Linked DNA regions of Ovis aries. The protein of the gene in region 2 interacts with the protein of the main gene of each other region in a pairwise test. Links are inferred from orthologs where the notes say so. Each region holds a gene or a part of one and is shown on either strand. Other genes may lie near its edges.

What was found.
Region 1: the proteins of ARFIP2 (region 2) and ARF3 interact in a two-hybrid assay, tested with the Homo sapiens proteins (2 studies listed by BioGRID and IntAct). The link is inferred for Ovis aries from reciprocal best matches to the Homo sapiens genes ARFIP2 and ARF3.
Region 3: the proteins of ARFIP2 (region 2) and MAL2 interact in binary tests that used the Homo sapiens proteins (3 or more experiments, as listed by UniProt). The two-hybrid records come from large-scale screens. The link is inferred for Ovis aries from reciprocal best matches to the Homo sapiens genes ARFIP2 and MAL2.

What each region holds. Positions count from the first base shown.
Region 1 is NC_056056.1:137,260,330-137,264,074, reverse strand, and holds the start of ARF3 (ADP-ribosylation factor 3), read right to left. Parts: upstream 2,564-3,745; 5' UTR 1,598-2,563; intron 1-1,597.
Region 2 is NC_056068.1:46,309,924-46,313,668, reverse strand, and holds the start of ARFIP2 (arfaptin-2), read right to left. Parts: upstream 2,383-3,745; 5' UTR 2,170-2,382; intron 1,474-2,169; 5' UTR 1,432-1,473; coding exon 1,333-1,431; intron 1,078-1,332; coding exon 981-1,077; intron 10-980; coding exon 1-9. Other genes in the region: TIMM10B (mitochondrial import inner membrane translocase subunit Tim10 B), read left to right, coding at 2,570-2,611, 2,806-2,901, 3,085-3,297. UniProt on the Homo sapiens protein: Plays a role in constitutive metalloproteinase (MMP) secretion from the trans Golgi network. May have important functions during vesicle biogenesis at certain cargo subdomains, which could be predominantly utilized by secreted MMPs, such as MMP7 and MMP2.
Region 3 is NC_056062.1:58,085,755-58,089,499, forward strand, and holds the start of MAL2 (protein MAL2), read right to left. Parts: upstream 2,576-3,745; 5' UTR 2,537-2,575; coding exon 2,405-2,536; intron 1-2,404. UniProt on the Homo sapiens protein: Member of the machinery of polarized transport. Required for the indirect transcytotic route at the step of the egress of the transcytosing cargo from perinuclear endosomes in order for it to travel to the apical surface via a raft-dependent pathway.

The DNA.
Region 1 (3,745 bases), on a different chromosome or scaffold from region 2:
ATTTCTAAAGGTATATGGGGGAGTAGATTCCACAATTTCCCTCAGTCACTGACTCCTTCTTAACAAACCTGGTTTTAGAGAACTTCCTTCTAACCAATAAATCCCGCCCACTGTCCTGAGTCCATTTCCTCTATTATGACTCCAGTGGAAGAAGGCAGCAGAGACAAACACACTTTATGACTCCGTGCACGGAAGACTTCACTTCCACTCTTTCTAGCCTGCTATCTGTCCTCCCTTACACTTGCATTCAGTTTAGTAATAGCAGCTACCATTCATTGCCACCAATTCTATGCCAGGTACCAGATACATACACTGGCTCCCTTCTCCATAATTATCAGGAACTCAATCTGCAGACAACTCTGCAGGACCTAGGTCTAAAGGAGAGACTCCTTTGCCCAAAACAGGGAAGCAGGAGATCTAGGATTTCTGCTAAATAATGACTCTGTGTTCTAACACTTTTCTTTTGGGGGTCTTAACTCATTATCCACGACTCTTTTGTGCCTCTTAGGAAACGTGGAGAGACCAAGACCTTAATTACAAAGGGTAAAGACCTTTAGACCCTCACTCAGCTATCTTCAGGAACTCTCTATGACAGCCAAGCCATCTCTTTCTCTTTCCTTAAACTGTGGTCAGAAATCCGGAGTTCAGGACTTTCCGGGGTTTGATCCCTAGTCAGGGAACTAGATCCCACAACTAAGAGTTACCATGCCCATCCTGCATTCCGCAACTAAAGATCCCAAGTGCCACAACTGAGACCCAGTGCAGCCAAATAAATAAATAAATATTTTTTTAAAAAAAAGAAAAGAAAACCTAAGTTCTATTTATTCACATTCAGTATTCATGAGAGCTTACTGTGTGCCCAGGCAGTGTGAGGGACACAAGATGAGATCCAATTCCTGCACTCAAAGTTTCATCTCTTTGGAAAAGCAAGACATACGCATAAAAAATTTGACTACAAAAGAAAAAAAAATTTTTTTTTTTTTACTACCCAAGACAATAACTCTATGCCGGGAGGCAGGAGGAATGTTAATATGTGATACAAGAGGACCCTTCCAAGCTGAATCCAAGGTCAAAGATCCATTCTGTGAAAAGGTGGATCAGTTTCTTTCTTAGAACGAGCTTTTATAGACATGGTATTCAAACCCAAGTCTAATGCACAATGACCAATTCACTGACCCATTCCAGTCATAGCAAGTGGAGACACCCCAACAACAAGCTCAAGACAAAATGGTAGCAAATACTGTCACCACCTGAATAGGGATGGGGAAGAAGTATGCAGACCCTACCTGCACTGACCTAAGCAATCAGACTCCTGCAGCAGATCTCCTACCAAATAAAACTTTCATGCCATAGACCAGGAGTGACCCAATCCAACAGAGACGGAGACGCGTTTTAAGTTACACTTCTTCCTCCCCCGATGACCTCACTATTTCTTCTCACTCCTGACCACATACCACAGTCCTCCAGGCCTAGCCAGAGGGAGACCAGCGGTAATACAAGCCAGAAAGAAGGGAACTCTCCCCAAAGAGGACTTACAACTTGGCTAATCAAGTGGCCCGGTTTTAACAGGGAATTCCATCCTACCCCTCACCCCCACCTTCTTCCCTCAAACACTGGTGTAAGCAACGGCTCCATTTTCGGTTCCGGGAATCCTGGTACTTCCTAAAGAAAGAAAGCGGATTGGAAGACCGAAACTCAGAGCTGGCGACCAGAAGCTCCCTCCTCCTGTGAGACCGCCCCCGCTACGCCTGGGGGAGGAAGGCACCACCTCTCTTCTCTAAGCAAGACCAGATCCCCCTCCCCCTTCTGCTGCCTCCTCTCTTCTGGCTCCCCACCTGCTGCCCTCTTCTCAACATGCGGTTCCCAGGACCCGAAAGCTCAACCTCCACCAGGGGCTAGTGCCCCTGGGGTGTCCCACTAGCCTGTGTTCCAGGTTAATCCCTAACCCCCCTACGGACCCCTGCCCCACGATAGGGGGAGGGGTGTCATCATAGCAAGGCTTCTCTCTGGTCTATTACCAAGGTGAAGGCGGAAAGCGGGTAGGAAAAAGCGCTATTCCCTAGCCCTTTAATAGGAAAAGAACACAAAACAGTCATCGCCGCCCCCATGTCACCTCACCCAGGACTGCTTTCCTCCCCCTCAACCCCGACCCTTCAAAAGCCCACCTCCTGCAGGCGAGGGGCTCCTCACTGCAGCCCAGGTCGCCCCCTTGTGCGAGGCGGAGGACAAAACCGCCCCCCACCCCCACACCAGCTCAGCGTCCTTCAAATGCGGGGGCAGGCGTGTGGCCGGCCCGGCGCCCCCTCCCCGAGCTCTCGGGAGGGAAGGACCACACCGCTCTATGCCAGGCAGTGCCGGGCGGGCGAGCGAGCGGAGAGCGGGGCGAGGGGACTCTATCCTCGCAGCCCCCACCCTGAGCCTCTCCTCTACCCGGACCCGCCTTCCCTCCTCCAAGCCCCTCACCTGTTCCTGCTCCCAGCTCCGCCGCTGCGGCCGCCGCCTCCGCCCCCACAGGCTCCGCTCGGCTCTCGCTCCACTCTCTCCGGCTCCCTCAGCCGATTTCAGCGCGGCTGCTCCCCTGGCCTCGCTCCCGGCTCCCTCCTTCCTGCCCTCCACCTAGCACCGGAAGCAGCGACGGCGACAGGAGCTGTGCGGCGCACCCCCACCCCCAGACCGGGATACTTCCCACCTCCCCGATCGCGCGAGAGCTGCGCACCGGCGAGCGGCAGATCTCGCGAGATTCATCACCATGGCAGCGGCTGCAGCAGAAGCAGTCGGTATTGGAGGCGAAGTCCGGGCGGGGTCCGATGTGGGGGCTGGAATCTGCGGGCGGTGGTGGCGGAAGCTAGGGAATAGGGCTGAGACAGTGGGAACAGGTGAGAAGCCCCAGGGTTCTGCCTGTTATTTAAGGACTGAGGCGGCGTAGTGGGCGCAGTGGAGACTGGGGCTCCTTGGGCAGTCAGGAAGCCAGAGAAGGAGTGAACATCTCTTGCTTTGGACCTTACTCCTTCAGCTCTCATTTTCATTTCTTAACCAGGGATAGGTGTAGGCCTCCGAGAGCCCTCAGTGCACCAGTGTTGCTACTCACTGCTAAGGCTAGGTTGCTGGGGGGTGGGGGTGGGAGCTCTGAATCAGGAGATCTTTTTTCATAGGGAAGAGGGAGAGTGATGAATTTAAGAGACTGAAGGAAACAACTGGACACTGGGCCAGTTAGGAAGTTGGAACTTGAAAGATAAACAGTTGAGGCCTAATATTCAGAAGTGTGGTTTGAGGCAGTATACCTCAAGTATGAATTTTAGTATTACAAGGAAAGTGAGGGATTTTGCACCTGTGTTTCTCTGTTCCTGCCTACTCCCACTTTCATCACACTCATTTTTGCACCTGGTCTAGACATGCAGCGTTACCTTGGAACAGTCACAGCTGTGATACAAGAAGGGCACTAATAATGCTAAGCACAGAAGGTTCTTGAAATGCCCTTTCTCCTCATTTACAGCAGTACAGATTTTCCTTGGCTTACAATGGGGTTACATCCCAATAAACCCATTGTAAGTTGAAAATATCTAAAGTCGAAAGTGCATTTACTGAACATCATAGCTTAACCTAGCCTGCCTTAAACGTGTTCAGAATATTTACATTAGACTACAGTTGAGCAAAATAATCTGACAAAAAGCCTATTTTATAATTGTGTTGACTGTCTTATGTGATCTGTTGAATACTATACTGAAAGTGGGAAGCAGAATGGTTG
Region 2 (3,745 bases):
GGCCAGACCCTAAAGGACCAAGTTCTCTGACACCAGTCTCTCTCAGATACAATCAGACACCTCTGTGGTTCCCCCACCACTCCCCTCCCAGCACATGAAAATGACTTCCCTGAAGGAGCAGAAGCTAGAGACAATTAGATTCTCTTACTCACTAGGAGAAACTTCTACATTGTGCCCTGAGACCCAAATCCCAATATACAGTGGCCTCTTCTTAAAGTGAGGGTTGGAAAAGGGGGGAAGAGGGAGTGGCATGTGTACAGGGGTAGAGGAAACAGCAGGAAGTAGGCCCAGTATGGGGTGACTGATCATGGATGGTGAGTCCAGCAAACAGAAAACCTGGTTGACAATTCCCATGTTGATTCTAGTCAGTGTGAGATTCACAACTGTTTGTTCTTCTAAATGTTAAGAGTCAAATTAAAACTCTGAGAAGCCTCACAAAGTTCCAAATCAGTTTCAGGCTCTAGAGCAGGTTTGGGGAAGGAGAGCTGTGAAACAGAGTTCTTTGCTTGTCTTAGGCAGTGACAGCAGGGAAAGGTACAAGTGGGGCTAAACTGCAAGTGGGAGCAGAAGGACAACTCTGGGAGCTGGCTTTGGGCTGAGATTCCATAAGGCTCATACTAGCAGAGGTTCCAAGGATCTCCAAACAAAATGCAAGCCTTCTTAGACATAGTCTATGCTTCCATAGTCTAGGGCTTCCCTAGTGGCTCAGACGGTAAAGAGTCTGCCTGCAGTGTGGGAGACCTGGGTTCAATCCCTGGGTCAGGAAGATCCCCTGGAGAAGGAAATGGCAACCCACTCCAGTATTCAAGCTTGGAAAATCCCATGGACAGAGGAGCCTGGCAGGCTACAATCCACGGGGTCTCAAAGAGTCAGACATGACTTAGCGACTTCACTTTGAACTTTGAACTTTTGATGCTCCCTGGAACCATCCGTCTCCCCATCTCCACTCAAGCACCCTGTCCTGTTCTGATCATTCATACCTGTGGGGATGAGTCCATCACCAGAGCCCCCATAGCCACCAGACACAATGCTGGTTTCATTGAGGTTGGGTCCTGACACCATCACCTGCTGGAGGTCCTATAGGCCAGAGAAGAGGAGGCTTCAGGAACATAGGGGCAGCTGAAGCATTTTGGGGGTGAAAACAAGCTTGGATTGAAGCATCATAGAGAGAGCACACAAGGGAAGTCTGCACAGAATCAGAACAAAAATTTGTAAAAAGATTGAAGGGAGTTAGGTAAGTTAGGGGAAGGCTACTGGAACGGAGGTGAGAGTTGAGGGTTTATGAGCTGGGATTCCTCAACTGAAACAATATGAAGAATCAAACAGAAGCACCTGCTCCAGCCCATCATCCTCAGGAAGCTGCCCAGCTTCACCGTTCCCATGGATGGGGATCTCCATTGTGGCTGCCTTTCCTAGGATCCCGTCCGTCATAGCGAGCGAAGGGACTGGAGTCAAGGTCTTCACCCCAGCGCCCTGCAAAGCCCAACACAGACAGCTCTGGAAACTGGCCAGTACTCCAAAGAGGAAAGTCTCCCCTACCATTTCAGAGGTTGTCCCAGGGCTTCAGAGTTCTGGGGTTTGGCCACCACTCTTCCCTGAACTCTGTGTATTTCTCCCGTCCAAGGTGCATATTTGTACACAGGCAAACCCAGGCCTCAGGTGCGTCTGACCTGAGGTCATGTCCCCATGAACCCCTCACCCTACCATAACTCCGCGGGTTATTCACGTACTCAATCACTCCACAGACATTTAATGAGTGCCTACTGTGTCACACACTATCTGAGACAATGGAGATACAGCAGCGAACAAGAGAGATAAAGTCTGTGTTCTCAAGAAGCTCATCCCCATGCAGGTGTTTCTCCCCATCAGGAGATTAACCCCTTTCCCCGAGCTCCGGTGTCTACTCCCATTCAGGTATGTTCACCACTGTTTGGCTATTCACACTCCTTTCGTGTTTCTTCCCCTTTCCAGCAGGTGGTCTCCCCCTCCTCCATCCCATGCACCTCCTCTTCCTCGGGCCCTGCCCCCCAGGCCTTAGTTATATCAGTTGGTCTAAGTTCTCGACCTCTGGAAAAAACCTCTTTTTTCCCAGGACATAGGTAGGTGATCCCTTCCAAAGTCAGTTTAGTTTCCCCAGGTGTGTGAGTCTCCGCCCTCCCCCCCATGCACCTGGGCATCAGGTGTGTCCTCATCCTTCCCCAGGGTTCAGAGGCATCTTGCCCTCTCAGGTTCGTGCATTCAACTTGCCCTCGCCCATGCATGTCCCTCTCACCTCGGGCCGGGCCGCTCTTCCCCTCAGGGCGCCAGGCCCGGGCCGCGCGGGGACCTCCGGCTCCAGTTCCCGTCGCGATCCTAGCAGCAGGTCAGGGACTCGGCGGAAGTGACGTCCCCACCCGGGCAGAAGAAGCCGGCCACGTCGCAGATTATGAGGGCGGAAGTGATGTTGACATCTGGGGCGGGGCGATCCTGGAGCCAACCCTTCTGTCCCTGGGGAGCTACGATACGTCACTTCCGGGGCGTTACCGAGAAGCTGAAAAGGAAATGACCTAGAGCTCACGCTGGTGGCGTGATGGAGCAGCAACAGCAGCAGCAGCAGCAGCAATTGAGAAACGTGAGTGGGAGCTAAGTCGCTTTAGGGCCATGCGTTCAACTAGCATCCTTGTCTGCATAGCGGGAACCCCAAATAGCCAAGCATCTGAGGGCTGGGAACGTCGGGCCGTGGGGCGCGATCCTGGGAAAGCTCGGGCGGCTCGGCCTTAAGATGTGGCTCCTCTTCGCTGAGTTCCTTGTCCCCCTTCCTCTCAGCTGCGGGACTTCCTTTTGGTCTACAATCGGATGACGGAACTCTGCTTCCAGCGCTGCGTGCCCAGCCTGCACCACCGAGCTCTGGATGCTGAGGAGGTTAGGTGGGGAACTGAGTAGGGGAATTACCCTCTATCCTCAGAGTTAACAGTAGACTGCTTCTCTCTTCCGCCACTTCCCCTACCTCTGGCCCCGGCCTTTCTATGACCCTCGCCCCTAGGCAGGAGTTGCGGCAGGACCTGACAGGACTCCTTTGACTTCTGCTTCCATCCTGTCTTCCAGGAGGCATGTCTGCACAGCTGTGCCGGGAAGCTGATCCATTCTAATCACCGCCTCATGGCCACTTACGTGCAGCTCATGCCTGCCCTGGTACAGCGCCGCATGGCAGACTACGAGGCTGCCTCAGCTGTGCCACGTGCTGCTGCTGAACAACTGGAAACCTCACCCTCTGGCAGCTCGCCATCCGCAAACCTCGGGAAAGGAGGCGCTGGATGAACCCTCAAATTAAAGGAGCCAGTGGACCTAGGGCTGGGTGCAGCCTGTGTATAGCAAGTGAGGAGTTGTCCGAGAGCTGGGTACTGTTGCTCCTTTTCCTGGAGCTAATAAACCCACTTTTCCTCTGTTTGGTTTATATTCTGGGCAAGGAAGTTTTGCCCACATTGTTGGCACCATCTTTATTATTCTGTCAGTTAGTGCTTCAGCCCTGGAAGCATAGAAGTTGCTTTCTGTATTAGAAGGAAAGCCTATAACCAGGCATCTGGTTAAAGCAAGGTCTGAGGGTAAAATTTTAAGATTGGTAATAGCAACAAGTTGGTTGCCCCGATGAAAGAAAATGGGAACTCTATCTAGCTATCCTTAAATCTGTCTGACTGAATGGCTCACTTGGAGATATCTTGGAAAACAGATAAGAATCCACAGGGCTTTTAGGCATTACCTCCTGGGA
Region 3 (3,745 bases), on a different chromosome or scaffold from region 2:
GAGGTGCTCCCCTAGAGAGTCTGATTTAATTAGTCTGGCCTAGGGACTGTTTTGAAAATCTGCCTGAGCAATTAAGTATGGCGGGAGTTGAGAACCACTGGGTTAGATAAATAAAGAGGATACTGGGGTGGGAGAGAGGAAATAGAGTAAATCATTTTCCACTTTCTTCCCTCCGAATTAAGCAGAGTTTCCAGAAAGTGTCACATAAACACAGATGGTTCTTGAGATGGCGTGTGATTTGATAGCACAGGGATAAGCCTTCTTTGCATATATATATACATATATGTACGTCACATATCGTTACATATACGTACACCTGCTCTGCTCTGCTAAGTCATTCATTCATGTCCAACCCCTTGTGACCCCATGAACCATAGCCTGCCAGGTTCCCCTGTTTATAGGATTTTTTGGCAAAAATACTGTAATGGGTTGCTATACCTTCTTCCAGAGGATCTTCCCAACCCAGGGATTGAATTCACATCTCCTACACTGGCAGGCAGGTTCTTCACCACTAGCGCCACCTGGGAAGCCCATATATACATACATATGTATATATTTACAAGTATCTATTTTAATAAATATTAGAAAAATATAACCAGCATATCACATTTGAGAATTCATGTTTTTAATGCTTAGGATGGGCTAAGATAAGGTACTGAAGTGCAGAAGGTAAACGCATTTAAGCGCACAATCTGTAAATTCTAGAACAAGTGGATATGGCAAAAACTTCTGGCAGAGGTGAGCTTCCCTGATCGCTCCCATGGTAAAGCATCTGCCTGCAATGCGGAAAGGTCCCCTGGAGAAGGAAATGGCAATCCACTCCAGCATTCTTGCCTGGAAAATCCCGTGGACCGAGGAGCCTGACAGGCTACAGTCCGTGGGGTCGCAAAGAGTTGGACATGACTGGGAGACTTCACTTTCACTTTCTGACAGAGGTATGTAAAACAACTGGAGTTTGAAGAACAGCAAACTCAAGTGGCCCAGAACCTGTGAAATCTTTCTCACCAGCCTTCACTGGTCTACACTGTCTCCCTTGGCCTAGCGGTGCAGACCGCACAAAGCCTCCCTCTCCTGGCTCTTCTCACCTGGATGCTCGTCCCTCATCCCAAGTATTCAGATACTTCCAAACTGGGCACAGACTCAAATCGGCCTCTTCCAGCCTCGCAGTCACGATCCGATTACTGATGTTAAAGCCTGGAACTTAACTTGTCTCCTTTTTCAGATTTAAATCTGAGCTAAAACCTAACTTAGGGTGCCTTAGCACAATAGGGCAGAAAACCAATGCTCACCAGGCGTCCCAGCCCCGCAAGCACAAAAGTGAAACCTAAGCGACCCAAATCCAGGTTATGCAAACGCAAAGGAGGGGGTTGAGGGGACGAAAGGAAAACTCCAAAGCGAGCAAACAAAACCCGCCTGCAGAAAAGGCTCCGACTCGCGAACATTTCCCTCTGTATTTGCCGTTCTCAGGGCATGATGCAACCTAAGGTTGCCCAATTTATATTTGAACATTTTTCCCAGCGAGCTTCAAAACCTCCCAACTCCATAAAATGACGTTTTAAAAGTTCAAGTCTGCAGCCCAAGAAGCCTGCACGACAGGCCGGATAACTCGACGGTCACCTAAGCCCAAGGAACTGGGCTGAGTCTCAAAGGTAGATGAGGGAGAGGCGCCAAGGCCGGCAGCTCGGAGCCTAACAGCCACGTACGTCTGTACCTTTCCCCTACCAGCCTCAGTCCACTGCGTTAGCTACTGCCAGGGGCGACCGTCCGCGCTTCACCTTTCCCCTGCTCTGCTTCTTGAGCCCTGCTCCTCTCCCCGATCCAAAGGGCGCTCAGAATGGCAAAACGGGAAAACCAAAACCAAAAAAAAACAGTGCCCAGGTCTTTAGCCTTCCTTCTCCTCTTCCTGGTACCTCCCGCCCCCGCTTTCCACATCCCGGCGGCCTCCTGGTCACCCAGTCATCGGCTACACCTTGCACCACCCAATAAAATGGCAGGTAGCAACAGGCGAGGCCTCCAACCCCGCGGGCCTCCCACCCCGGGCAAGCCTCCCGGGGTCTCCGACGGTACCCCCAAACCCAAATCGCCCGTCTACTCTCCAAGTCTCCAATCCACGGTCCCGCGGAGCCTCCTGATCGCTCTCCCGGGACCATTTCTGTCGCCAGCGGAGGAGCAGGTGGCCGCGTAACAGGTGCCAGGCGAGAGGGCCCGGGCGGTGGCGCCGCCGCCCAGATGGGGGCTGCGCTGGGCACCGGGAGGACCCGGGTAGGAGCGCCGGAGGAGGCCACGTCGGGGGGACAGGAGCGGGGGTACCGCGCAGAGGGAGACAGCGCTCGGGGGGGCCCAGGATGCGGCCGCCCGTCCTCGCCACCCAGGACGCGACCCTCGCCCAGGCTGCCCCACTTACAATCTCCAGGCACACGAAGGCGCCCGAGTAGGTCCGCAGGATGTCGGGGCCGGCGGGCAGGGTGACCCGCGGCGCGGGGAAGGACATGGCGGGATTCGGAGGCGGCGGAACTGGTGCTCCGCCGGCCGACATGCTGCCGCTGCTGCGTCTCCGCGCGCCGCCGCCTCCCTCCGCCCGCCTCCGCCTCCCGGGCTCCCGCCGCCGCCGCCGCCGCCGCTCGGGCCCGCCGGGTCCTGGCGCGCCGCTCGGGAGGGAGGGGGCGTGGCCGCGCCGTCCTCGGCCAGGCCGGGCCCCGCCCCGTCACGTGGGCCCAGGTGAGCGCGCCTCCGCCGCGGCGCCCGGGGGTCACGTGCACAGGTGCGGCGGCCACCTGGCCCGATTCTTCCTGCGCCCGCTCTGCCGGTCCCCTGTGCCACCCAGGCCAGCGCTCCTGGCTCCACTTCCCGACTCTTTATTTTTCCCCCTTAGTCTCCCTCCCGGTAGTTTCCACGTTTTCCTTCACCTGTTCTCCTCCCAACTCTCACAGCTTCCCTATCCCACTTTCCTCAATGTAACTACAAGTCAGGTCTTGGAGCTGTGACTCAAGGTCATCAGTCACACCTAAAAAGGGGAGTGGATCAGTTTTAAATGAGACTCTTGTGGGATTTTAAAAACACCACTAGGACATTGTCGCCTGGTGGAGTCAGATGGGTCAATGCCAACATCTATTGGCGGTGGATGGCGGGCAGGGAACCGGCTGCTTTGCATGCCAGTGGCGTGCTCATCTGTGGAGTGGGGTTGAGGTTAGCTGCTCTATATGGATGTCTGAATTACATGATACAACATGAGAATAGTAAACCCAAGTAGGTGCTCTTTAAATGGTAGCTGGTAGAATGATGCCTATTTTTCTAATTTTTACATACGCACACATCACACTGCTCTGTAGACATGAAAATGCATGTTATACTTTCCACATAAAGCTTTACTTATTGGTTTCACCTGACTGAAACTTATGAATTGCTGTTTTTAAAACAAGTATTCATTTATTTATTTGGCTGCACCAGGTCCCAGTTAGGGCACCCGGGATCTTTCCTGCATCATACAGGAACTTTCCTTGTTTTGCAGGAACTCAGTAGTTGCCCCAGGAGGTCTTATTTGCTGCAGAGTCTTGTGGGATCTTAGTTCCTCCACCAGGGATCAAACCTAGGCCCCTGTGTTACAAGGTGGCTTCTTAAACACTGGAGCACCAGCGAAGACCCTGTTATTTTCTTTTAAACACTTAGGGTTTTGTTTTTGTTTTTGTTTTTGTTTTTTTTTTAACATTCTATGTATGGCTTGGATTCCCTGCCCCAATTTACCCCC